Linked DNA regions of Drosophila melanogaster. The protein of the gene in region 3 interacts with the protein of the main gene of each other region in a pairwise test. Each region holds a gene or a part of one and is shown on either strand. Other genes may lie near its edges.

The links.
Region 1: the proteins of tth (region 3) and CG9902 interact in a two-hybrid assay, tested with the Drosophila melanogaster proteins (one large-scale study listed by BioGRID).
Region 2: the proteins of tth (region 3) and Drep3 interact in a two-hybrid assay, tested with the Drosophila melanogaster proteins (one large-scale study listed by BioGRID).
Region 4: the proteins of tth (region 3) and CG4168 interact in a two-hybrid assay, tested with the Drosophila melanogaster proteins (one large-scale study listed by BioGRID).

The regions. Positions count from the first base shown.
Region 1 is NC_004354.4:16,541,584-16,549,474, forward strand, and holds CG9902 (uncharacterized protein), read right to left. Parts: upstream 5,938-7,891; 5' UTR 5,852-5,937; coding exon 5,765-5,851; intron 5,698-5,764; coding exon 5,271-5,697; intron 5,215-5,270; coding exon 4,964-5,214; intron 4,897-4,963; coding exon 4,303-4,896; intron 4,242-4,302; coding exon 3,428-4,241; intron 3,341-3,427; coding exon 2,100-3,340; 3' UTR 541-2,099; downstream 1-540. Other genes in the region: Arp2 (Actin-related protein 2), read right to left, coding at 7,659-7,829.
Region 2 is NT_033778.4:12,053,489-12,058,117, reverse strand, and holds the start of Drep3 (DNA fragmentation factor-related protein 3), read right to left. Parts: upstream 3,030-4,629; 5' UTR 2,900-3,029; intron 2,150-2,899; exon of another isoform or gene 2,145-2,149; 5' UTR 2,098-2,144; coding exon 1,732-2,097; exon of another isoform or gene 1,571-1,731; intron 1-1,570.
Region 3 is NC_004354.4:13,612,693-13,618,216, forward strand, and holds tth (toothrin), read right to left. Parts: upstream 3,895-5,524; 5' UTR 3,289-3,894; coding exon 2,984-3,288; intron 2,728-2,983; coding exon 1,746-2,727; 3' UTR 501-1,745; downstream 1-500. Other genes in the region: Tango2 (transport and golgi organization 2), read left to right, coding at 4,742-4,883, 5,122-5,244, 5,410-5,524.
Region 4 is NT_033779.5:15,197,448-15,202,363, forward strand, and holds the start of CG4168 (uncharacterized protein), read right to left. Parts: upstream 3,013-4,916; 5' UTR 2,627-3,012; intron 1-2,626. Other genes in the region: Sfp35C (seminal fluid protein 35C), read right to left, coding at 4,260-4,315, 4,375-4,536, 4,590-4,617.

The DNA.
Region 1 (7,891 bases), 2.9 Mb from region 3:
TATATTCTTGATCAGGATCAATAGCCGAATCAATCTGGCCGCATGAACGTCTCGATCTTGGGAGCTATAAAAGCAAGAATGTTGAAGATTAAGCATGCATCTTCCAGACCCATGTTGCCACGCCCACATCTGTCACGGCCACAGTTTTGAAAAATGCTTTGTTATTTTTGTATATTTTTATTAGTCTTGTAAATTTTTTAACGATTTGATACGACACACTTTAACGCCCAAAACTGAAGCGGCCACACTTTTGAAAAAACTCACCTATTAATATTACCCAATTACCTAAAATCTATTCATATCACAGAAAAATGATGAAATTTCTTTTTCGCATTTCCACTAGCTGAGTAACAGGTATCTGATAGTCGGGAACTCGACTAAAGCACTCTCTCTTGTCTTGGTTTGCATTTGTATTTATTTGCACTTGTCTATTGAAAGTTAGCCGCACCTGAGAAAGTGCAACATTGATTTATATTGTTCAAAAGGGTGAGGAAAGGTTAATTAAGGAGACCTAATTGGTGTATAAGGAAGCGGATACCTATTTTGTCAAAGGCTCGGGAAAAGTTCAATGATATTATAGAGAGGTGGCCCTTTGGAGAGAGAGCAATCTTCTTGTTAGTCAAGTTGTAGTCTTGTAGCAGTTTTTGTGACTTTAATTTAGGAAAGACTAAGCTAACTTTATAATCTAGAGGAATGTTGGAGAATTTAGGATATCACAGTTTTCATTTTTGGATAGCTTCTTTAATTGCACTTCGATACTTTGCGTTGGGCTTTTTAAACTCTTTTAATATGTTTGTTGTGTTTATGGTCCTTTTAATGATCAAGAAAGTTTCTGCTTCTAACACGGAACTGCATGGATAAGGGGGCAAGTTGAAGGCAAGAAGAGCACGAAGCATAAAGGTAGCAAACAATGCCCCTCCGGATGTCGAGGTGCTCGCCATAAACATAATTTGAATCTTTGGATGCTGGGTGGCTTACCTAGACCGATCGCGATCTAAAGACAGAGGTGGCTCTCCTCTGCGAGCCGTACAAGGCTAAGGCCAGTAACAAGTGGGTTTTAGACCGAACAAGCATAGCAGCCATATGCGGGAAGGTAGAGGTGATCAGAGGTTGAGATCCAGGTCGAAATCGGCACAAGAGCACTCGACAGCCAGGAAGCAGCCTCATACGGCCTACCGACAGGACACCATGAGACTGAAGGAGTTAGACGGCTCTCTTCACTAGCTGACAATCGACGAGGCAGACTGGGCGAACGCAGCAGCGGATAAAATGGCAGCGAAGTTGGAGGAGACCATTACCACTTGGCAGATAAGCGGAGACGTGTCAAGCTGACCACTTGCGGCCGGTCACGTAGCCCAAGATTCTGGCGGCTGCGAGAAGCCTCAAAACCAGAAAGAAATCAGGACCCGATCGGATCCCATAGAAGGCAACCAAGGCAAGCACCCTGCCGAACCCTTCTCGTAAAGACCCATCTGCCTTCGAGAAGGTGATCGCGGCGAGGCTCAACACAGCAATATCGGCTGCATGGGGACTTTCTACAAACCAGTACGGATTCCGGAAAGAATTGTCGACGCTGGACGCGATCTCCACGGTCACTTGGTTTTTAGGTAGCAGGTTACTTGCTGCACGCCGTAGGTAGCTACTTCAGCAATCGGGTGCTTGTCCTCGAATCGACATCGAGATCCAGAAAGTTCGGGTTCATGTCCGGAGTCTCACATGGCTCTACAGTTTGCTTTTCCGGAAAGCACCAAGATCGTGAGGTTCCAAATCTTTGGTGCCCCTAATGCGAAGCAATGCTTTGCGGCAGTACCTTATCCGGTTTCACATCTCTACTAACATCGAGGCTGTATAATAAATTGTTACGTAGTTATGGTATATATGTAAGTAAAGAAATAACAAAAAAAAAAAAAATGGCGTTGCATGTGAAGCTTATCTTTGTGTTTTCTAGTATTTGGCAGATCCTGTTCCGTTTGTTCCTTTTTTTTTGGCTTTCCTGTCGCCTGTCTTGCATCCAGTCCCTCTACTTTGAACAGGCTATTTAGGGGGACCTGTTTGAGATCACTAGTTTCTATGACATCTCCTGGGGACTCCTGGGTCTGTTATCCAGTTCTTATGTGCTTCTTGGACAAGAACTGTAAGTCCAGAGTCTTCTGTGGCACGTTTGTAGTTTTTAGGGCGTCATGGATCATATGCGCTTCAGTCTCATCGGTGGGCTTCAACACTTCTGTTTCAGTGCTTAATTCGGAGTTTGCGGTCGGCGAAGGTGTTTTTTGCTCTTTACCTTCACCGGGGGAACCTACAGTGGTCCCCTTCTCGTTAAATTCGTGTGTAGCCATCGTGGAAGTTTCGGAATTCACGCTTTCAGTTTCTGATCCTGTGCGAACGAGCTGTGAACATGGCTGTCCGGCTGCTTTTGCAGATTTCGCCATTTTGAGGTCCTTCAATAACTTCATTTTGGCTATAATCGAGCTGCACTCTATCATGTCGTTGGGCCCGCTAACCACATTCTCTAGCTCTTCCTTGCTGAAACTCCATATGTCGGCGATCGGCTTAAATCCTTTCGTTTCGTTGGTAAACATGGGTCGTGACTTCATCAGCTCGGCAATTGTACGCTTTTGTTGATTTTGCGGCTGAACTGCGATTTTTGGCTGCTCCGCGACGACGGGCTGTGTAACAAAGTGATTACCCGATGCCTCTGGAAAGATCGATCGTCGCCCACCGCTCACTTTTCGATCCAATTCAGGCAAATTGGCTTTGGCTGCAATGGCTGCGGCTCTAATCCGATTCAGGTGGCCATTTCTGGTGTAGCAGTGCTCCGAATCGCTTGAGGAAGTCTCATCCCCGTCTTTCGAAAACATTACTGCTTTTTGTTTTCGAGACTGGACTGCGATTCTTGGCTGCTCGTTGACGATGGACCGTGTAGAAAAGTGCTTATTCGATGTCTCTGGAGAGGAGATTTCAGACAATTTGGCCTTGGCTGCAATGGCTGCGGCTCTCATCTGAGTCCGGCGGCCATTTCCTGTGTAACAGGGCTCCGAATCACTTGAGGAAACCTCATCCTCTTCTTTCGAAAACAATACTGTTTTTTGTTTTTTAGGCTGGACGGCGATTTTTGGCTGTTCCTTGACGACGGGCTGTGTAGAAAAGCGCCTATTCGATGTCTCTGGAAAGGACATTTCAGACAATTTGATATTGGCTGCAATGGCTGCGGCTCTAATCCCAGTCCGGCGACCATTAGCTTTGGATGCAATGGCTGCGGCTCTAATCTGTGTTCGGCGGCCATTTCCTGTGTAGCTGGGCTCCGAATCACTTGAGGCAGCCTCTTCCTCGTCTTCCGAAACTGTGGGATTTAAAATTCAATTCATTAGTTTGACTGAATCTAATCTTATATGAAAGTTGCTCAAAGAAAAAAGATTTCGTTGCTAACCTTCATACCAACATTTGCGTTTTGCGTGTCGCCGCATTTTCAGCTCCTTGGCTTTCTCTGCTTTATCATGCACTGCTGGTGTTGATTCAGCCTTTCCAGCTGCATTCGAGAGATTAGTCTCATTTTCGTAGCCCTCTTCTATGGTGCCATAGTCCAACTGTGGTCGATCCCTGTACTTGGCATAGTCGATCTGGAGATACTTCAAGTCGTCGCATGATTCGGCCATGTTAAGAGACACAAATTTTCTCTTCAGGTCCTGGCTTTTGAGTAGGGCACTGCAACGCTCGTCTAGCGTTTGCCAATCGAGAGCCCATGAGTATTGTTTATGTCGCGGTTGGAAGACCACGGTCAGAAGATCCTTGGTCATGTTGCTGGGTAGACGCAACGCCTTCAGCGACTCGTTTATTGGATCGTAGTCGGACACTGGATCTTCATGGTTTGTTATGGTCATAATCTGGTGCACATCGATGGTGGAGCTCAGCAGTTCGTACTTGACGTTGCCAATCGCTGGAGCAGGGAGCCCGCCCTCCTCCTGTCGATTTTTCATGATCCACGAACAGCGCTTTACTTCGTTATAATTTGATGATGTGGGGTGGAGGTAGAAAGCAGTCAGCCAGAATTCTGCCTCCATAAATCCATGGTCAGAGAACAATTTGGCTAGGTCAGCATAGTTTGCAGACATCTTTTGCTCCAAATCGAGCATAAAATCAACGGTTAACCCGGGATGATATCTCCACATTTCTAATGCATTTATTTGTTGCCCAATAATTTTCAGCAGCAGAGCAATCTTAGCAAATCTCCAGCCTGAAAAATTCTAAATTAAAAAAGCGCGGTGCTTAGTAAAGTTTTCGCTTTTGTTAGTTCTCATCACTTACCCGCTCTGCCAGCAATTTGTACACAAAGCTCAAAACTTCCTCATTGTTTGGTACATTTTGAAAAACCGGATCTACTTGTCTATCTTGTTCTTCGCCCACCTCAGGCTGAATCTTTTCGTCGTCATCACTGTTCTTGTAGTTGCTTATGTTGCTGGCTCGATTTCCCTTGCATATCTGCTGCTTGTAGTTGAGAATTAGGTTTACTAGATGCGGTTCAATGCAGCTGTTTCGCTGTTGTTCCATCTTCTTGAGCTCGTTTAGAAGAAAGCGCTCGCTGCTCTCGCGCTCCTCTACATAGCGATCCATTAGCTTTTTGAACTGTGGCAGGTGCTCCAGGAAATCGTGCTCGTTAAGCGACTGAAGATCCATCAATAAATTTCCCAGCACATAGCTGGAGTAGGCATCTAGTATGACGGCAAATGAAGTGACCATACATAGATTGAATTTCCTAAATGCAATTTTCTCAAAAAACGCATTCTTTCCGAGTCGAAGACGGACGCAAACGCGGGCAATAAGCCGAGCTGGCGTAAAGTTAATATCATGTGAGCTCGAAAATTCCTCCATGATCTGGACATAGAACCCTATGTTGTACATCTACGAGGTGGTTTTATGACGACATTTAGTTTTGTTATGTTAGTTACATGATGAATGTTTTCCTTACCAAATTATCAATCACAAAGCCTTGATTATCATCCCTAACAAAAGCGGCCAAGAGGCATACATGACCGATTAGTGTAATTGTGTTTTCATCCCCTTTAAAGGACACAAATGGTGCATTTTCGTGGATTTTCAGCCAAGCAGCTAGCATCCGAAGCGCCAGCTGTTTTACAGCCTCAAAGTTGCCGGCGTTAAAGAGCTGGATTAGTCGCAGCAGGGCCAGAGATACCCCTTCCTGCATGAGGAAAGCAACATCTAAGAAATAAGGCAATGATTAGATGAATCCTTGACGAAAATTAGTAATGGCTTACCTTCTCCTGATGCCGCTTGAACTTTGTGTTCGATGCCGTGTTGTTTATTCAGCTCCAGGTTAAGAAATAGCTGATGCAGGTAGGGCAGGCTCCAGGGCTTCGTCTGGAACTGCAGAACGTACGACCAGTTGATATTGGCCAGTTCACCAATCTGATGGAATGCCGGCATTGCTTTGGTGAGGGTGTAGAGCAAAAGCTGCTTGAGGCCTTCGGAGCAGGTCTTCCACTCTTGGCTAAACCACATCAGCAGCGAGTGGTAGACCAAAACCCTGACCATGTGACGCAGCGCTGGGTCCTTTAGCGACTCGGAATCCCTGGTAGGCAGGTGGCACACCTCCCATCCGTAGAGTAACTGCGACAACCGGTCATCGCCCATTAGCTCAAACACATCCAAAGCGCTGTGCTTATTGCAGAATACAAACATTTTCTATAAAACCAAGATTTAAGCAATGAAAACGTGTGCATAAGGATTTATGTACAAAGCAAGTCCTTACCGCCGAAAACTCGTCGTACTCTAGTTTCCTCGCACAATCCAGAAACTTTTGTTCATCGTGCACATCCTGAGAAAATATTATATCCATTTTGCAGCACTTAATTCATGGCAATGCTATGTCAAGTCGATTTCCTTTTTTTTGCCGGTTTCGATTTATTTTAATTTAGCTTGAAAGTTGCAACGAACAACAGCTGAACCCGATTACTGTAAATCGATGTTAATCGAAAGGGGCAACGCTGTCTACACGAGGTTCATATACTCGCTAAACTGTAAGGCTAGGCGTATTTGCTAAATGTGGAAGGTGCATTCGCTAAGGCCATTGTTGCCAACTGAAATTTTATTATGCAGGCAAAAGTAATTTAAAAATTTATTTGAAAGAAACAAGAATACAAAACACTTACTATAGACCAGAAGGGTATACGAGATTCGTTGGTAATTACATATATATGTAACAAGTAGAAGGAAGCGTTTCCGACCACATAAAAGTATATATATTCTTGATCACGATCAATAGCGTTTCCGACCATATAAAAGTATATATATTCTTGATCAGGACCAATAGCCGAGTCAATCTGGACGTGTCCGTCCGCATGAAAGTCGAGATCTCAAGAACTGTTTGTTGACCCATGTTGCCGCGCCCACAAACCGCCCAAAACGGGCATGCCCTCACTTTTAAAAAAAAGTTTTGAATTTTTTCATATTTTTATTAGTCTCTTAAATTTCTATCCATTTGCCAAACAACTCTTTTCGGGTATCTGATAGTCGGGGAATTCGACTATAGCATGCTCTCTTGTTGTCATTTTTGTTTTGTTTTTAATTTGGCAAAAAAAAAACCATAAAAAAGTCGTATGCGATTTAGTTTTAGACTACAGTATACAGTACACATCATACATAATTACGTTTATTGCATTCACTTACATAATTGGCATTCCACATTCATTTTACATATACGGATATATGTATATGGATCACACATATGTATATGTATATACTATTCATCATATGCCGATAGTTGCGACCCCAACAATCATCAAATTGCAACTAACTAGAAAAGGCAGGTAAGGAAATTAAATCAAATTTAACACTTCGACTGATGGTACTTTCGATTATGGGGCAACGTAAATGCGTAATCTTGTGACTTCGATTATCTGTATCTTTATGGGTAGGTAACTTCATCTTTATCTAGTTGGAGACAATCCAGAAATGCTTACTTTAAGGTCGAGTGTCGGGAGGCGAGACGGGATCGAATCAATCAGTGTATTTAGTTAACGACCGAACTCGCGCTTTCTCCTTCTGTGCTATGCAACTTCCTCGTTATATTTCCTCTGTCTCTGTCTCTGTCTTAACACACACACGATTTTAGTAGCTGCTACTAGCAGACTTGGCCTAGTTAATACTTAATGTGAAATACTCGCTGGAAATGAAACATTTTGCGTTTACAAAAATATCGCCGCACTCGAGGTGCTTTGAATTTATATATGTATATATATATAGTTATATATGCGTATTCATTAAAGAAAAGGGCTTTTGGGTTTGAATTTTAGACGTAATTATAAACAATTAAACACACTAATGCAGGGTTACACAATTTAGGCGACTATCGAATTAAAGTTTTCGCGCTCAAAGAAATATTACATTATATTGTACGGGGATAACGACCAGTGACGACATGTCTGCGATTATAGATAATCTAAGGGCAAGTGGACCAATCCTGCTCAACAGACACGCCCACTCGCACAGGCACACACAAAAAAAAAAACATATATAGACGGATATATCACGTAAATCTGAAAGGTTTAAACCTATAGAAAATAGAGAAAAGAAATCTATCACTTTTTTATCCTATTTCTTGCGGTCCGCACACACACACACACTGATTTCGCATCCATCCGCCTCTAGTGACTGATCTTTTGCAGCTTTTGCAATACTTTGAGACCCTGTTCCTGATACTCCTGCTTGGACATCCAGAAGCCGTCGCGATCCTTTGTCACCTCCGCCAGAACAGCTCCGCCGATAAAGACCATATCCTTGCGTCGCGGTGGATCCTCAATGCGTATTTTGAATTTCTGCAATGTAATCGTTCAATTTGTTAAACACGATGTGCATTGATTAGCTTTACTTGACAACT
Region 2 (4,629 bases), on a different chromosome or scaffold from region 3:
AAGTCAAAAATGTCTTTCTGTGTGGCAGCACTGCTATGAGTTTTCAGTTCAGCGGTAGATCTAAACCAATTTAACCTTGTGAGTAAACCAAACTGCAAATCAGTCATGGTAACCATCGAATTAATTGAACTATCTGATATTAAGTAGAAGAGATGCAAATTATTTTCATACCGAGAAGAACCTAAGGGCCAATACGTGAACACAGGATATTATTAACCCTACCTCACGCATTCATGTGTTGGCCTCTGACTACCAACCCTTTCCTTAATTTTCACTCTCATTTAGTTGTTTCTGGAATTAGTCAAAGGGATTATATCTCCAGGATTATATCATCCAGTGTTTTTAATCAGAACCTTGGCAATTTCCCCGAGAGCTCGATAAAGAAGATGCCCGTGTCAGATGGCAGACAAGATGGAGGCTTATTAATTAGCTGGAATGCGCATGAATTACGCATACGTCACGTGGCCCACGCTCACCCATCATCATCATCATCACCGGTCGGTTGCCACTGACAAATGACATCGCGTTTCGGCCACGTCAAGCCGTCAATTAATTGCTTTCGCCTGGCAAATTTACAGCCACTTGATATCTCGTAGACGCCGATCTTTTGGCCAGTTTATATTGTTATGGCCATCGCTCTGATGCCGTTAACACACAATACATCGATTAGGGTGTTCAGCTGGCGTGGCCAAGACACCTACTTATAGTTATCGCCGCCCACACAGACGCCACAAGGCGGCTTAGATGTGGGCGTGGCACTGGAGGCGATTGGCGGAATGGCTGGATGATTGGCCAGCTGGCTGGCCCACAATGATATACGAGACAATTGGGCGCCCGCATCCTGATCCCACTACCCTATGCAACTGAACAGTTTGAACATTTTAATTAAATTTTCATTGTTGACCAGCCACACAGGCAAAAAATTTGCAAGAAGCTAATCTGAGTAGAGGGTGAAATATGGTCTATACTATATTGTATTGATAGTGTTAGTGATTTACTGAGCATGGCTTACTATAAGTGGGTAATTGGATATAGGATCATCAAAATAAGGACATTCAAGTTCAATTAAGTTAAATCATATCAATACTAAACAGAATCGTTTTATTCTTGCAAGTGTCGATGTGTTGTATCTTTCACACACAGTTTTTAGAGTTAAAAGTTTCGTAAATAGGTAAACGGATGCGTAAATTGTTTCGTAAACTTTGCAGAATTGACAGCGACTATTTGTGACCCTAATCATTTCTTTCTGTGCTCCAAATTGGGCAGGGCCACGCAATCCTCACAATCAAATGGAGTTTGCCATGGTGAAGGCAGTGCGGAGTGGGCTGCTGGTAGGGCAAAAGGAAACAGCTCTGTTTTCCCGGATTTTTTCCCGCACCAACTCTTGCAGCGAATTGAAAAGTTGGACGAATGCTTAAAGGGCGAATAAAGCACCGGTAGCAACACTTCAGCAGCAGTGCCAATGTCGATGATGCCACTCAACGCCGAAGGCTTTGAAGTGGCCGTTCCGTCGGGGAACCCTTCACTTTGTTCGTCCTGACCGTCAAACTTTTTCCTCCATTTTCAGTTTAATTTTTTCTATTTTTTTTTTACTATATACCCATCAAGCGTAACAATAGCACCGCAGTAATCACTTAACGAAATGCTGGCCCAGATGACGGGGCGCCAGGTAGCGTGGCTAAATGCCACAAAGGACATGAAGGATGTGCGAGTAGCGAGTGGAATACCCACCTTGAAGGGCTTGCTGTTGTCCAGCTGGGCGAAATCCTCGTCGGCGGTGGTGGGCGAGGGCGTGGGCGTGGCGCTGCTGTGCGGCGATAGGGCCAACTCCAAGGTGATGCTATCCGCCGCATCGTCCAAACCATCGTCGGCATCTAACTCGATGTCCTCGCAGTCCGCGTCCAGTTCGGCCGTCCTTGTCAGAGTCCGCTGCCTGGGCGGCGGAGCCACTATTCTGCTATCAGGATCACACTGTACTCCTGCTGCAGCTGCTGCTCCATCGCTCTCCTTCTTCTGCTCCCTCTCCGGTTCCTGCTCCTCCTCAGCTCCTTGAGGCATTCCAGCCAGCTTTGTCTCATCCGCATTCATTGCTGTCATGTATTTACCTCGTCTCGAGAGTTTGTTCGCCTTGTCTGGACTCCTTGCTGCACTGGTTGAAAAACATGGTCGAAAGAGAAAGAGATTTATGACGAGCAAAACAAATTTAGACGATAATTGAAATATGCTGTATGGCATTCGGGGATGCTTTCAAAGCTGAGCCAAGCATACTAAAACTGCCAGACTTTGTGTTATTGTTATTTCATATACGCGTGTACGTTGTTTGCTTCGACCGGAAAATTTATAACGAAATCGTTGTTTGGCCTTTGTTTTGGCTTTGATTTAAAAAAGTTTTGCAATTGCTGAAATTGCTTGACCTTAAAGCCACATAGAAAACGAAGTTTATAGAGACCAAAAAAAAAAGAAGGAGACCATGGAATGTTATTGCATTACAATTTCACCATCGGCTCTTTAAATACTGTACATTTTTACCAACGACTTAAAAAAAATATCTACAAAATATTATTATTTTTTTAATTTTATATAGTAATGTAATTTGCACTATTTCAATTTTGGTGTCCTGTATTTGATAGTAAAGCTCCATATATGACGATGCAGAAACGTGTTTAGAGTTTTTCAAACGAATATAATTGGCCAACTTTTTTGTTTGGTAAAACTTCATTTAAATTTATAGAGGCAATTATAAGTCTAAAAGAATATAGTTTGCATGTGCTTGCTTGTTGTTTTTTATCATGAAAGCTAAACTAATTATTTTCCATAATTTCCACAAGCCTCTTTTAGACAAAAAGATAGTTGGTTTATATACTCTGAACTCTAGAAGCAACATTTTGTTTCTCATTACCGTGCACTTTAAGTTAAAAACCGAATTCTTCACATCTTCCGGCAACAATTACAATACGCGATTCTGGCTGAGATCGCGAGCCGACTACTCACAGCAGCCAAGTGCAACAAAAGCCGGCCGAACTTGGAATAAATTGCCAGACGTCTGTGCGTGCTGTATTTAAACGTGGCAGGACTCGTCGAGTTTGCCGACAGCCTCGGCCAGCGCAAACACACACGGCGCAAAGTCAGCAGGTCCTGCAAACACACAGCAAAGTCTAACCTTCGCGGAGCTTTGGCCGTGAGAGCAGGACACTCGCAAAGAGAGGCAAAGAGAGAGAGAGAGAGAGAGAGCGAGCGCTCTGTTAAGGCTCCTGTTAGCCAGGACACGCTGGGCGTGCCGGGCCAGAAGCATAGACCCTATGCCGGATAAAGTAAAGTTGGCACAAAAGAACTCTGGCCTGGGATCGGGATTCTATGACCTGGAAGGTGGGAAAAGTTTACTGGAGCAGCTGCAAATAGTTCTACTTAGCCGGGACCACAAGAAGATAAAAACGAATACAAACAGCACAGTGTATTTGCGGGGCGTGATGGCAAATATAAATATTTTAGCCTGAACTTTCAGGCGCTTAAGGGCAAAGTTTAAAAATGCAATAAAAATAAAGTTTGCAATTTCGGCGAAAAACTCTGGCGTCCAGCTGAAAAATGTCACTTCGGCATAATGAGACTGCTGCTGGCTGCATAATTAAAGCATCCCAGAGCTGGGCAAAAGTTTTCAACAAAGGTGCATTGCCTTTGAGGGCGAGACAAAAGCCGAGATTTATTGGCATTTGCATTGGCGGAATATTTAAAATGCATGAGACGCTGTACGTCGATCGAATTTGTTCGCATTGGGAGCAAACAAAGCCACTTAGCTGCATTTATCACAGCACTGGGCTTAAATGGCTGAAATATTGCGCATACGCCGCGTGAGCCAAGGTTAATTTGATTGCGCCCGCTTACGGAAGTTCGGCATTGAACATGGACTGAGCACGTGATTCCAACTGCAGTCACGTGATGGATAACAATATATCTGTGGGCCTGTTATCTCGTTTACGCATTTTGAGCCTGGTCCTTGTCCCAACTACCTGAAGTGCATACTTTAGGCCCAAGCGGATTCGGATTGCTGGGCGAATTTTGCACGCTCATCTGTTTATTCGCCCTGCTGGGCATTCATTTCCGTCCGCCATTTTCCATTTCCCATTTTCCCCCGCCGGCGGGTCAAATAATTTATGGGCCATGGTCCGCTAATTGCGCATTGAAGCGCGGCGCGAACAACTATTCGCATTTCGCATATGCAGCATGCTGGTCCTGCTGCAGGACCTCCATCGCCATCAATTTAAATGCATAGGTGCAAATTGAAATTTATGCGTCTGGTCGCGAAGGTAAATTCCCTTCATCATCAGCTGCCATGTTTAATTGCGATGCACGACCTTGGCCGTCTGGCCAGTTAGATTAATTAACTCACATGTCGTCGGAAAGGTCATGCCGCCGCATGTGGCGATGATAAATGGCCTCTGATCCTGGTCCTTGGATATGTGGCACTTTTCGCCAAAAACTCGTCAGGCGAAAAACACATAAGGCAGTGGTACGGGTAAATGCCAAATATTTGCGCCTGCTGTCAGCAGTCTAAATGAAATTAAATGGAAAAAAATAGCATTTCGATGCGGGGCAAACCAAAAATGTATAAAAGAAAATGGCAAACATTTTAAT
Region 3 (5,524 bases):
GAGGAAGCACAGGAAAACGAGGTAGGGAAGGCCCAATAAGTCCAGAAAAAATTAACTAAATATTGTTTTTATCAAAAACGAAGGCACCAACTTCAACTTCAACTTCGCGTAAATCCAAAAAGGAACAGAAATCCGAGGAAGAGCCAACTCAAGTCGATTCAAAGGAAGCGAAGCAATCCAAAGAGTTGGTCAAAACGAAGAGACAACCGAAAGCCCAAAAGAAGCAGGCAAAGGCATCCGAATCCCAAGAAGAAGTTGCCGAAGATAAGCCCCCTAGCAGCCAGAAACGGAAGCGGACCACCAGATCCTCCACAGACGAGGCTACTGCCGGTGCCAAGCGGAGGAGGTAGTTGTGCCCAAAACAAAGCGTTCAGCAATAGAGCCCTATGATCGATGATTGGCAAATCCTCTCGAGGAACCGATCGTTGAGAACCCCTTTGCCTTTGTTGATCGCTCAATTTTGGATCAAAAACTACATACATGAAAAATACTCGAGCATTGTTATTACAAAATATATTAAAACATCTTAGAAACCTATTTCCATTTTTGTTTTTTTTTTTCATTCTCTTGTGGTTCATTTTTGTCTGATTTTTTGCCTCTCATTCGTTAAAATTTTGTGGACTTTGATTTTTCTTCCAAAATGTACATGTTTTCCTTTTTTGATCTTATTTCAATTTTGTCCCTTCTTAGTTAGTTAAAATTTGTTTTCGTTTTTAGCTCAGCTTAATAATTATGATCCTAGAGAAAAAATTTTGGTTTTACGAAATTGTTTTTACTTTTAGCTTCTTCTAATGCTAGAGATACCCTACCACTTGCCTAAATAGATTACAATCTGAATTGTCTCTTTTTTAACTAAAATTTTGGTTAAATAAAAAAAATTGAATATAATATGTGGGGAGGGGTGGGGAGCTAGGTGAAATAGTATTAAGAACATGCAGCAACAGAAACCGAGAGATTGCGATTAGGTGGAGAGCCAGTCCAAAAGGTGGACTTGCCTTAAGTAGAGTCGCAAATACAATGCATGCAAGTATGTATATATATATATATGTATATAATGTCTGTACACCCATATATATAATGTACAATATAATGCAATGGTCTGGCGAACTGCTCTAAGCAAAACTTCGGAAACCAGATGTGAAATATAGTCGTGTATTGCAAAACTATACATAGTTCAAATTGTGCTGTTTCACTTATGGCATAGATGATGCCCGAAAATAATTGATTACGAATTGCCTAACGATGACGAAAAAGGTTCTTTTTAAATTCATTGTCTAACTTATACAACGTTAATAATTGATGGCCTAAAGGGTTTCCTACATTACAAAATTGCTCGAAGAATATTTGCTACATCCATAAGTTTCCGCTCAAGTTATCCTATAGTAGAAGTTCACCAGTCCATTGCTAGTTTAAAAAACAACAATCAATTGGCTATGGGAACGTAAAGTTAAGAGAGGCGAAACATTGGAATTGTATTGGCTACGGCCTGGTGCGCGGTTCTGATCGTTATCCTGATTCTAATCCTGTTTCTGTCCCTGGTCCACAATGTATTTGTTTCCTTTCTTTCATTTCTTGCTTGGCTTTTATCCTTTTGTCGGAGGGGGGCAACAAACAGTGATCAACTAAGGCTTAAAAACTATATTTAAATTATGTGCGAAAAAGTAGGTCGATTCAATAGGCGAGAAAACATTGCGAAAAACAAGGCTTTGATTGATTACACGTCCAGTTAGTTGCTGATAGAGCGGTTACAGATACTTCCGATAGTTGCGCAGATGGGCGTTCGCGTCCTCGACCACGCCCACCGCAGCAGCGGCACTCTCGAAGGATGGTGGCTCGATGACCATGCCGGGACTTGTCGGATCGCAAGACGCTCCAACGGCGCTATTTGGCCCCTTGGCTCGTCGCCTGCCACGTGTTCCCGCTCCCCGCGATCTGCGGCTGTTGGCCGAAGCTCCCGATGCTCCTCCTCCGCCGCCGGATCCCGAAACTCCCGCTAAGCCTGCTCCCAGGCTGCCGCTTAGGATGCCTCCGCTGGAGATTGGTCCTCCATTGCTGCCTGGCACACTCTCGCCAGATTCAATGGCCTCCAGCGATGCGTCCAGCGCCGCATCCGTCGTTGTGATACGCGACCTGGCCGCTGCACTGCGTCTCCGCGAGCTGGAGCTACCGCCGGAATTGCCGCCACCGCCGGCGCCTCCTCCACCACCACCGCCGCCGGAATCTCCACCTCGCTTGCCTGGTCGCCGCTTGCGCCTTTTTTTGTTACCATAGCGCGGATCATAATCGTACTCATCATCCGCCGGCGATTTGGGCTCCTCCAGCGAGTCCACATCGTTCATATCCATGTCATCGTAGAACCACTCCTTGGGCAAAAGCTCCTCTTTGACGGCCTGCTGCTGGTGCTGGTGCTGCTGATGTTGTTGCTGTTGACTGTCCTTGCTGTCGGATGTATCACCGCCGGCGGCACCCAGCGAGCTGGACTCCTCCAGGCTGAAGGCTCCATTAAAATCGTGGGCAGTGTCACTGTGCAGGGAACCAAGTACGGCCGGCGCGGCTCCGCCGCCCGTAAGCATATTGAGCGTTAGGGAGGAGCTGCTGGCCAGGCTATTGCTGCCGGGCATGGAGCCCACACCGCTGGTCAGGCTGCTCAGTCCCAGATTGACGCCGCTGGCCACCAGAGCTTCGTGCTCCTTGCGTAGCGCCTGGAAGGGACGCTCGGGAAAGCGGCTGTATAAGTGGAAAGTTCGTTATTAGCAGGGATAAATATGGAGCTCACCCAACGAAAAATGTAGGATTTGATGAGATTGAATGGCATATACACAGATGATATTCTTCTAACCTAACTCGTTTTAAATAAGATTACCATAGGTAACAGACTCCTAGATTTCCAAGCTCTAATTTGCTTCGCCAGAGTTATACCTAACTTTTCCTTGTGCATGTGCCAGTCACTCAAATCCCGCACCGATTGGTTACGATTCCTCACCTGTACATCTTGCTCAAGTACTGACGACGGCTCTTCCGCCAGCGGGCCGCCGGATACGTGTAGATCTGGCCCTGCCGGAAGCCGGGCATCCGCTGTCGCTTGTCCAGGAAGAGCTGCGAGTGGTTCTGGGCGACGCCTGTCTGCGGATCGAGGAAGGGCAGCCGGTGGCGCCGTTCGCTGCACAGGCGCGTGTTGAAGTTGGCACTGTACTCGATCGTCTCCCGGTAGCTGACATCCTTCAGGAAGCTCTCGATCTTGGCCAGATTCGGCATAGAGACGATCTGGATGTTAACGGCGGAGGACATGGCTGTTCCTGGTCCTAATCCCACTGTTGGCTAACCTCAGAGTCCGGCTGTGCCGCTAATCCATCCCAGAGTCTTGGCAATTTCCGCTCCGCTCCGCCCCGTTTCTTATCGCAATTTTTTTCCAGTGTGTTGTGTTCCGTTTCTTATCGCTTTTCGCTGCCTGTTTTTTTTATTCTTCTTCGTCTTCCACCTCTCCTCTCGACCGACACATACACGCACGCACACACACACACACGCAAAGCTCTCTATCGATGTGACCCCGCGCCAGGGGGCGTGGGCGGCAGTGGGCGTGGCGAGGGCGATACGTTTAGATCGCGATCTGCGGCCGGATTTTCCAATTGTTTAATTGATCAGAAATATTAACGTCGTTTTCACTGCTCTGCTGAATGCCAGTGTTACCAGATGGCGACATGATTTTCCCCCCAAATGTTCTCGACCGACCGGTATTTTTGTCCTAAAAAATCCACTCTTTCGCTTTAATTTTAGCGATCAGTTTTCTTACCAATTTAAGGGCCTGTATAGGTCTGTTAGTTAATTTATGCATTGCAGTGCATAGCTATGTAATGGTATTTTCTAGTTTTAATTACAAGCCTATGTTACAGGGTTTTTGGTTAGTTTTCAAACATCGATAAGTTGTAAGCCAATCGATTGCCGGGCCCACGGTCATACAATAGAGATGGGCAACTGGCGATAATGCCTACCTACCTGTTACGCCAATTTCAAAATAGTAGTTTGTTATCTGGATCGGCACAGGCGACAAAAAAAACTAATATGTTTATATATACGTTATATATGGCTTTGGAAATAAATTACACAATCATATTGGTCAATCATTGTTTCAGCGCACGATGAGGAACTAAAATCTTCAAATTTAAAAGTACAAATTAAGATAAGTCATAGACTGCACAAATAAATAATTAGCAATTAATAAAATAGCTAAAAGAATATTGCACAGGGCAGCAGAGTGTTAACGATTTTCTTATCGATTCTCCTGTCAGCTGGCAACGCCAAAACAAAACAAAAACAAAATTAAAAGAGAAATCAAAACAAGGCAACCCGGTCATTGAAATTTCAGAAAATACTGCTTTGTTTGCGTTAACGGGAATGCTTTTTGCCCCGTAGATATGTATATATCACATAGAGGCACGGCTCACAGAGAACACCCACCAATCCAAACCATTTACATTTACCACTTAGATTAGCTGGTCTCGCAAACAACGGATAAGACTGTATATCAGCTGTACGTACGTACGGCTATTTGGTGATAAAACCGGCGCTATAGTTCCACTGCCACAAAGTAACAAAGAGAAGACTGAGCCGAACAACCTGCCATTTTGATACCGACGCCCCACCGAGATTAAAGCCCACTTTTCCGGATCCCATTCGCAGTTGTCCCACAACCTCAAGGCACTACAAATCGCAACAATAGCCAAATAAGTATAGGATTCCGACGATGTGCGTGATATTCTTTTGTGCGGACTCGAATCCGCAACCGGGTGGCTACAAGCTCATCCTGGCCTCCAATCGGGACGAGTTCTTTGCCCGCGCCACCCTATCGGCAGCCAAGTGGGCGAATGCCGATCATGTTTACGGAGGTAAGTGGTGGGGCTTATGCCCTTGAATGCCTATGCTTAGATGGAGTATAATCCTTGAGAGCTTGTATTCATCAAGATGTTACCTATAGTTTAGTCACTAAGATGATTTGATAGCAGTTTGTTAGAATGAACACCTCTCACAAGATCTGTTTCCCAGCAACCTAATTGGATTTCAAGCCATCTTACCCATGAGTGCGGGATCAACTTGAGTAAATATTTATGTATTCCCCCATTTCAGGGATCGATCTGGAGCCGGGACGCGAGGGCGGCACCTGGCTGGCGATCGGCCACTCCGCTGGCTTCTTTAAGGTGGGCGCCCTGCTCAATCTGACCGGCGAGCCCAAGCCACGCGATGCAGTTGGTAAACCCATTTGAGCTACTTACTAATCCAAATTGACGCGCACACACACGCACACACACTCATCCATACACCTAACACTTGGCCCGAACTAAAACTTTCACAACCGCGACCAAAGAAAAAGCAAAGCAAAAACAAACTTTCTTCGTTTCTGTTTTCTGTTTGAAGCGCACAAAAACATTTTGCAACCGCATAATCACAACAGCAACAGCACCGGCATTAACCTTTGCCCCAAGACCACCACCTCCAACAGCTACCGTCATCCGAATCCGAATCCAATTCA
Region 4 (4,916 bases), on a different chromosome or scaffold from region 3:
ATACCCTGTACTCAGCGTTAGAGTGGGTAAGATGCACAATCTCGCCGTTTCTAGAATCTGCATTCTTAATATCAATGTTCAAAAAATATAGGGTCGAAAACTCATCCTTCTAACTGATACAAACTTTTCAACGAATGTTGTATACCCTTAACTCTAAAAGTAAGCGGTATAATTAAATACATGCATACATTTTTATAGCATTAATCGTTTATGTGCAACAATTTGATTTATTAATCTCATTACATTTTATTGGAAAAAATCAGACCAAAACTCCATAAAGTCAATCAGCAAAAGTGCCGTAAGGCAACCAAATAATTTAATCGACGGCATGTTATGGATATTTTATTTCTCTGTTCATTATAATGAGTTGATTAAGAGCTAGAGTAAACTTTCCAACCTGGCTAGACTCTGGTCAAGGAAAATTAACTTCGAGTGCGAAGTGTGGGAGGATGAAATGTACGCAGTTTATGATTGCCTTCACGCCTGTCTGGTCATTAGCCTAGGCACAACTTTGCCCCGAAAAAGCACATTTGCGGTCCCCGCATCCCTTGCTTTTTGTTTTCTTTTTTTTTATTTTGCATTTTCAGTAGTCCACAAATAAAACTTTTTTTGTTTGTTTATCCATGATGAGGGTTTGACAGAGATTGCTGTGATGGGGGGGAAGTGTAGGGCCAGAGGTCCTAAAGCATAAACAGATCAATAAAACAAGGCGAAGAAGAAAAGCCGACAGGACGACAGCCACAAAACTAGCTGAGGAATTCGCCCAAAAGAGGCCAAGAAATAACAGCGTCAACTGGCGCAGTTCCCATGCAAATTTCTCCAGACCCATGTATCTGCAACACCCCCGTCAGAAGAACCCAAGAACCCCATGGAACGGTGCCCATGGAACCCAGAGGCACCACGAGGACGACACTCTCCACGCCCATTAACTGTTGCCCGTCTATTTGTTTGTACAAATAATGTGTAAGCAGGCATATTTTTGTCAACGAGGCTAATTTCTGTCACAGATTTACGTGACAATGGCCCAGGCAAGAAGCTAGAGCCCAGAAGGCGCTGGGAAAGCCAAAGAAATCCGCATCAACACGCATACTCGGAATAAAAACACAACAATTACAAAACAGGTTTCATCCAGTGGGATGGGTTGGTGGGTGGTGGGTGGTGGGTGGCTTTGGACAAGTCTGGCAGTTTTTGGTCGAAATATTTTCGTTTCTTCTGCTGTCAGTGAAGTTGGTTATTCGTCGTCGTCGTTTTGCGGCCAGTTCGTAAAAGCCATAAAAAGAAATGTACCAAGCAGCAGTAGACAAAATAAAAAAAAAGAGGAGGCCCAAAACAAAACTGAGCTGTGAAGAACCAGCGTCGAAAAAAAACTGGGTTAGCTTGCGTACTCCCCCCAACATTCCCCATATTTCCCCACCTCCGTTCCATTGTTGCTCCTCGTTGTTTCTTTTTTTTTAGCACCTATGCACCGTTTTTGCGATGCACCCTGCTCCTGTCCGTCTTGGTTATTGTTGTCCAAGAAACTCAATGTGTGACACATATGCAGTCGCCACTCCCCCTGCCACCCACCGACGCCCACTCACCCACTCTGCCACTGCCACTGCAACACTACACCTCCAGATTTTTCTGCGCGTTCCACTTTTTCTTTCCATCATCTTAAAGACCAAAGACACAGATCCAAAAAATGTAGTGGTTGAGAAAAGTTTAAAACACTTATACTTTGTCTTTTAATCCTTCCTTCGAAAAAAATCTTTGTATGAACATTTATATTTCATTTGTATATACGTAGTTTCCTATTGTTTGCTACATATAAATGGCGATAATTTTTGGGAACCAAATTTGCAACCAAACTAAAATTGATCTAAAATTGTTAAAAACCACACATGTGTTTATATATTTTATTTGCCAAATCTACAGACATTTCGACTAACTCTCAGCTGTTATTTTAGTTGTTTGTCAAACAGCTGTTAGTTTATCAATAGCTCTCAATAAAACAAACTATCATTGCAAGTGTATGGTACCCAACATTTGCTTGTTAAATTAAAACCTTAAGCAAGTCCAACCTGATCCATGAACCAATCGAAATTGCATCCAATCCCTTGGACGGCAATGTAAATAGCCCGAGACATTTTCCCGATGCCTCAGCCGATCTGTGGAAACGCCAGTGAAGCGGCAGGATGCACTGGCCTGGCCATCAGAATCGGTGATTGACGCTGATACGTTTGCCACATTTAATTGGGAGAGTGGGTGGATCGCCACCCATCATCCGTCCACCACCCATCATCCACCCCCCGTCGAGGTTGTTTATTGACTGACAAGTGCTGCACATCCGGGCTGCGTTTGCGGAAATGAGCAAATGACTAATGACTGACCAGAGCGAAGGCACCCAAGGCGACGAGTGACCCTTGCCCACTCTGTTTTCTGTTTCTCCGCTTCTGTTTCTTGTTTACTGTGCGCTTCAATTAAAGCATCTTGCAGGAAATTGAACTTTTAGTCAAGTGCCTGGTCGAGTGAGTGGCTGGGAGTTGGAGGAGGAGGAGGTGGATGAGGATGATGATGTGGGGGGGCCAAGTGAGTGGGTGGTTCTTTGAGACAGCGACGGCGACTTGCTCATCAATCTGTTACGTACTTGACTTGTGGGTGGGTTCGTAGGTCGGCGGCTGTTCAGGGCTTGAAAAGCGTATCCGTATCCAGTTGTTGCATGTGCCTAGGCTACTTTTCTCTCCTTCGTTTGCTCTTTCTGCTTTCGTGCCACTTGAGTTTTGATTACTGATCACTTCACTTTGCAATCACCGCTTGATTACTTTTGGTATCATAAGCACTGCCGGATCTCCCTCGACCGATACGATCTCTGGTTAATGCTTCGCGGCTATCAAAGCCTATCTATTTGTGGTCACCATTTCGCGATTTTATCTAGCCGGCTAGAGGTACGAAATGTTGCCGTTGCACCAGCAACATCACTATACGGGCTGCCACTTGTGGCAAAAATGATAATCGGCGATGCTCACGCGCCAAATTACCAACGTGGACTGGCACATCCGTGCCACATTATGCGCATTTTATGGCACGTTGGCGACCTCGACACTCGCTTCGTTTTTAGATCACCCGAAGGCGAGGCATGCAACACGGAAATTGTTGTCCTAGGCGCAACAGACCCAAAAACCGAAGCCCCCGAAGTCAGTTGACACGACCCATGCCGCTGGTGCGAGAGCCCCAAAGCCCGAAGACCCACGATTACCGGAGCATCTGGGCATGCGCAGTGACTGAGCCGGAATTAGTATGCTATCTGGCAATGCTCTGTCATCAGGCGGAGTATTCAAAGAAATTCTAAACTGGACAGTGACTTGATGGGGGCAAAGACGAAGATGGATGTACAATAGGTGGATGGTGGGGGTGAGGTGCGGGAGATGGGCGACCGACCGGCCAGATTCAAGTTCAGGTCGCCCTTTGACCGCAAAATTCCGGCGGCCAGCTAATAAACTCCAGAAGAAGCCAAATTTGTTGTTCGAATTTATTGTGGAACATTCTTTCCAACTAACCCACAACTAAGACTGATAAATGGCCAAGCATACTGGCAATTTGCAAGTTTCTGACCGTTTTTAGAGCACTCAGTTAACCCCAAAAGTTTTATATGCCTCATCTAGGTGCGGCCCATTTCGGTCCTCTTACCCAGCACAGCTCCTTTTGCTGTTTTTAATCTACAATATTAGCCGGTAGTGATGTTTCAATTAATTTTTAAGGTGCACCCCAAACTGCCCAAGAACCGAAGAGCATAGAGATGGTTAAAGATATAAAGATGGAGGCTTTAAGATGCAAAATGGGGGCAGAGAACTCCGGACGAAGCCAGAACCGCATGCTAAGATATGATGGCAGATGCCAAGCAGGATGAATAAATGGCTTGGATGCAAAGTTTAAATTTTTCATAGTTGGGTGGCTCGGTTTGGTTCGCTTCGTTTCGTTTCGTTTGGGTTTGCTTTTCTGGGGCTTGAGTGGCAAAGTAAAATGTTCCTCATATTTGTCTTCTTGAGGTTTTCATCGGTCAAACTACGGAGCAATTGGACTTGTAGCACTAGCAGTAGATTATTTCATTAAGGCGAAACTAAGTTATGGTTAAAAATCATATCATATACCCTTTTTAAAACTCCCAAATGAAATAAACATCAAAATAGTGGACAAACAGCAATTGAACTATTTTTGAACTATTTATTTCTTAAAAGAAATATATTTAATTTATATAATTCAATTGAAAACATTTTATTTGGCTATTTACACATTTTAACGCCCATCTCACAGAACCCAGACACGGTTTTTACGAATTCTAAATACATTTAAAAGAAGTTAAAATCGGGTAAAAAACATTTCAAACATAAAGCTCACGGTCAAGATTATTCTTCTTTCGTCGGCACTTTTCATTTTCCAGAGCACAAGCGCTAGTTCCCTCAAAGTAACATTTGCCATCATAATTGCAGGTGGGCAAGATGCATTTTCCGCACGGCTTATTGCAGTTTTCTCCCCATGCAATTCCGATTAGCATACAGGCTGTTTGATTAACAATAAGAATGATCAAAATATTTAGAAAATCTTTAGCTTACCCAGAATAACTAAGAAAAACAATTTCATAATGATAGTAGCCGATTATAACTGACTTAAACAGTCTCAAGTACATTGCATTTTATTGGTTATATTGGTTAAGGTTAAATGCGTTAAAAAAGCATTACAATCCAATTAAATTTTGTACGAGATGGTATAATACGTTTAGTACATGTTAAAAATGAATGTGCGATTGACTCTAAACTTATTTTAGTCAGAAGAAATAGCTAACCGGTAGTCCACTAAATTCATTCATTCAGCTTGAGAATTTTCGGGTTAACTAAACTCATTAAGGTAAAATATGTAAAATAATAATTATTTAATTTTCT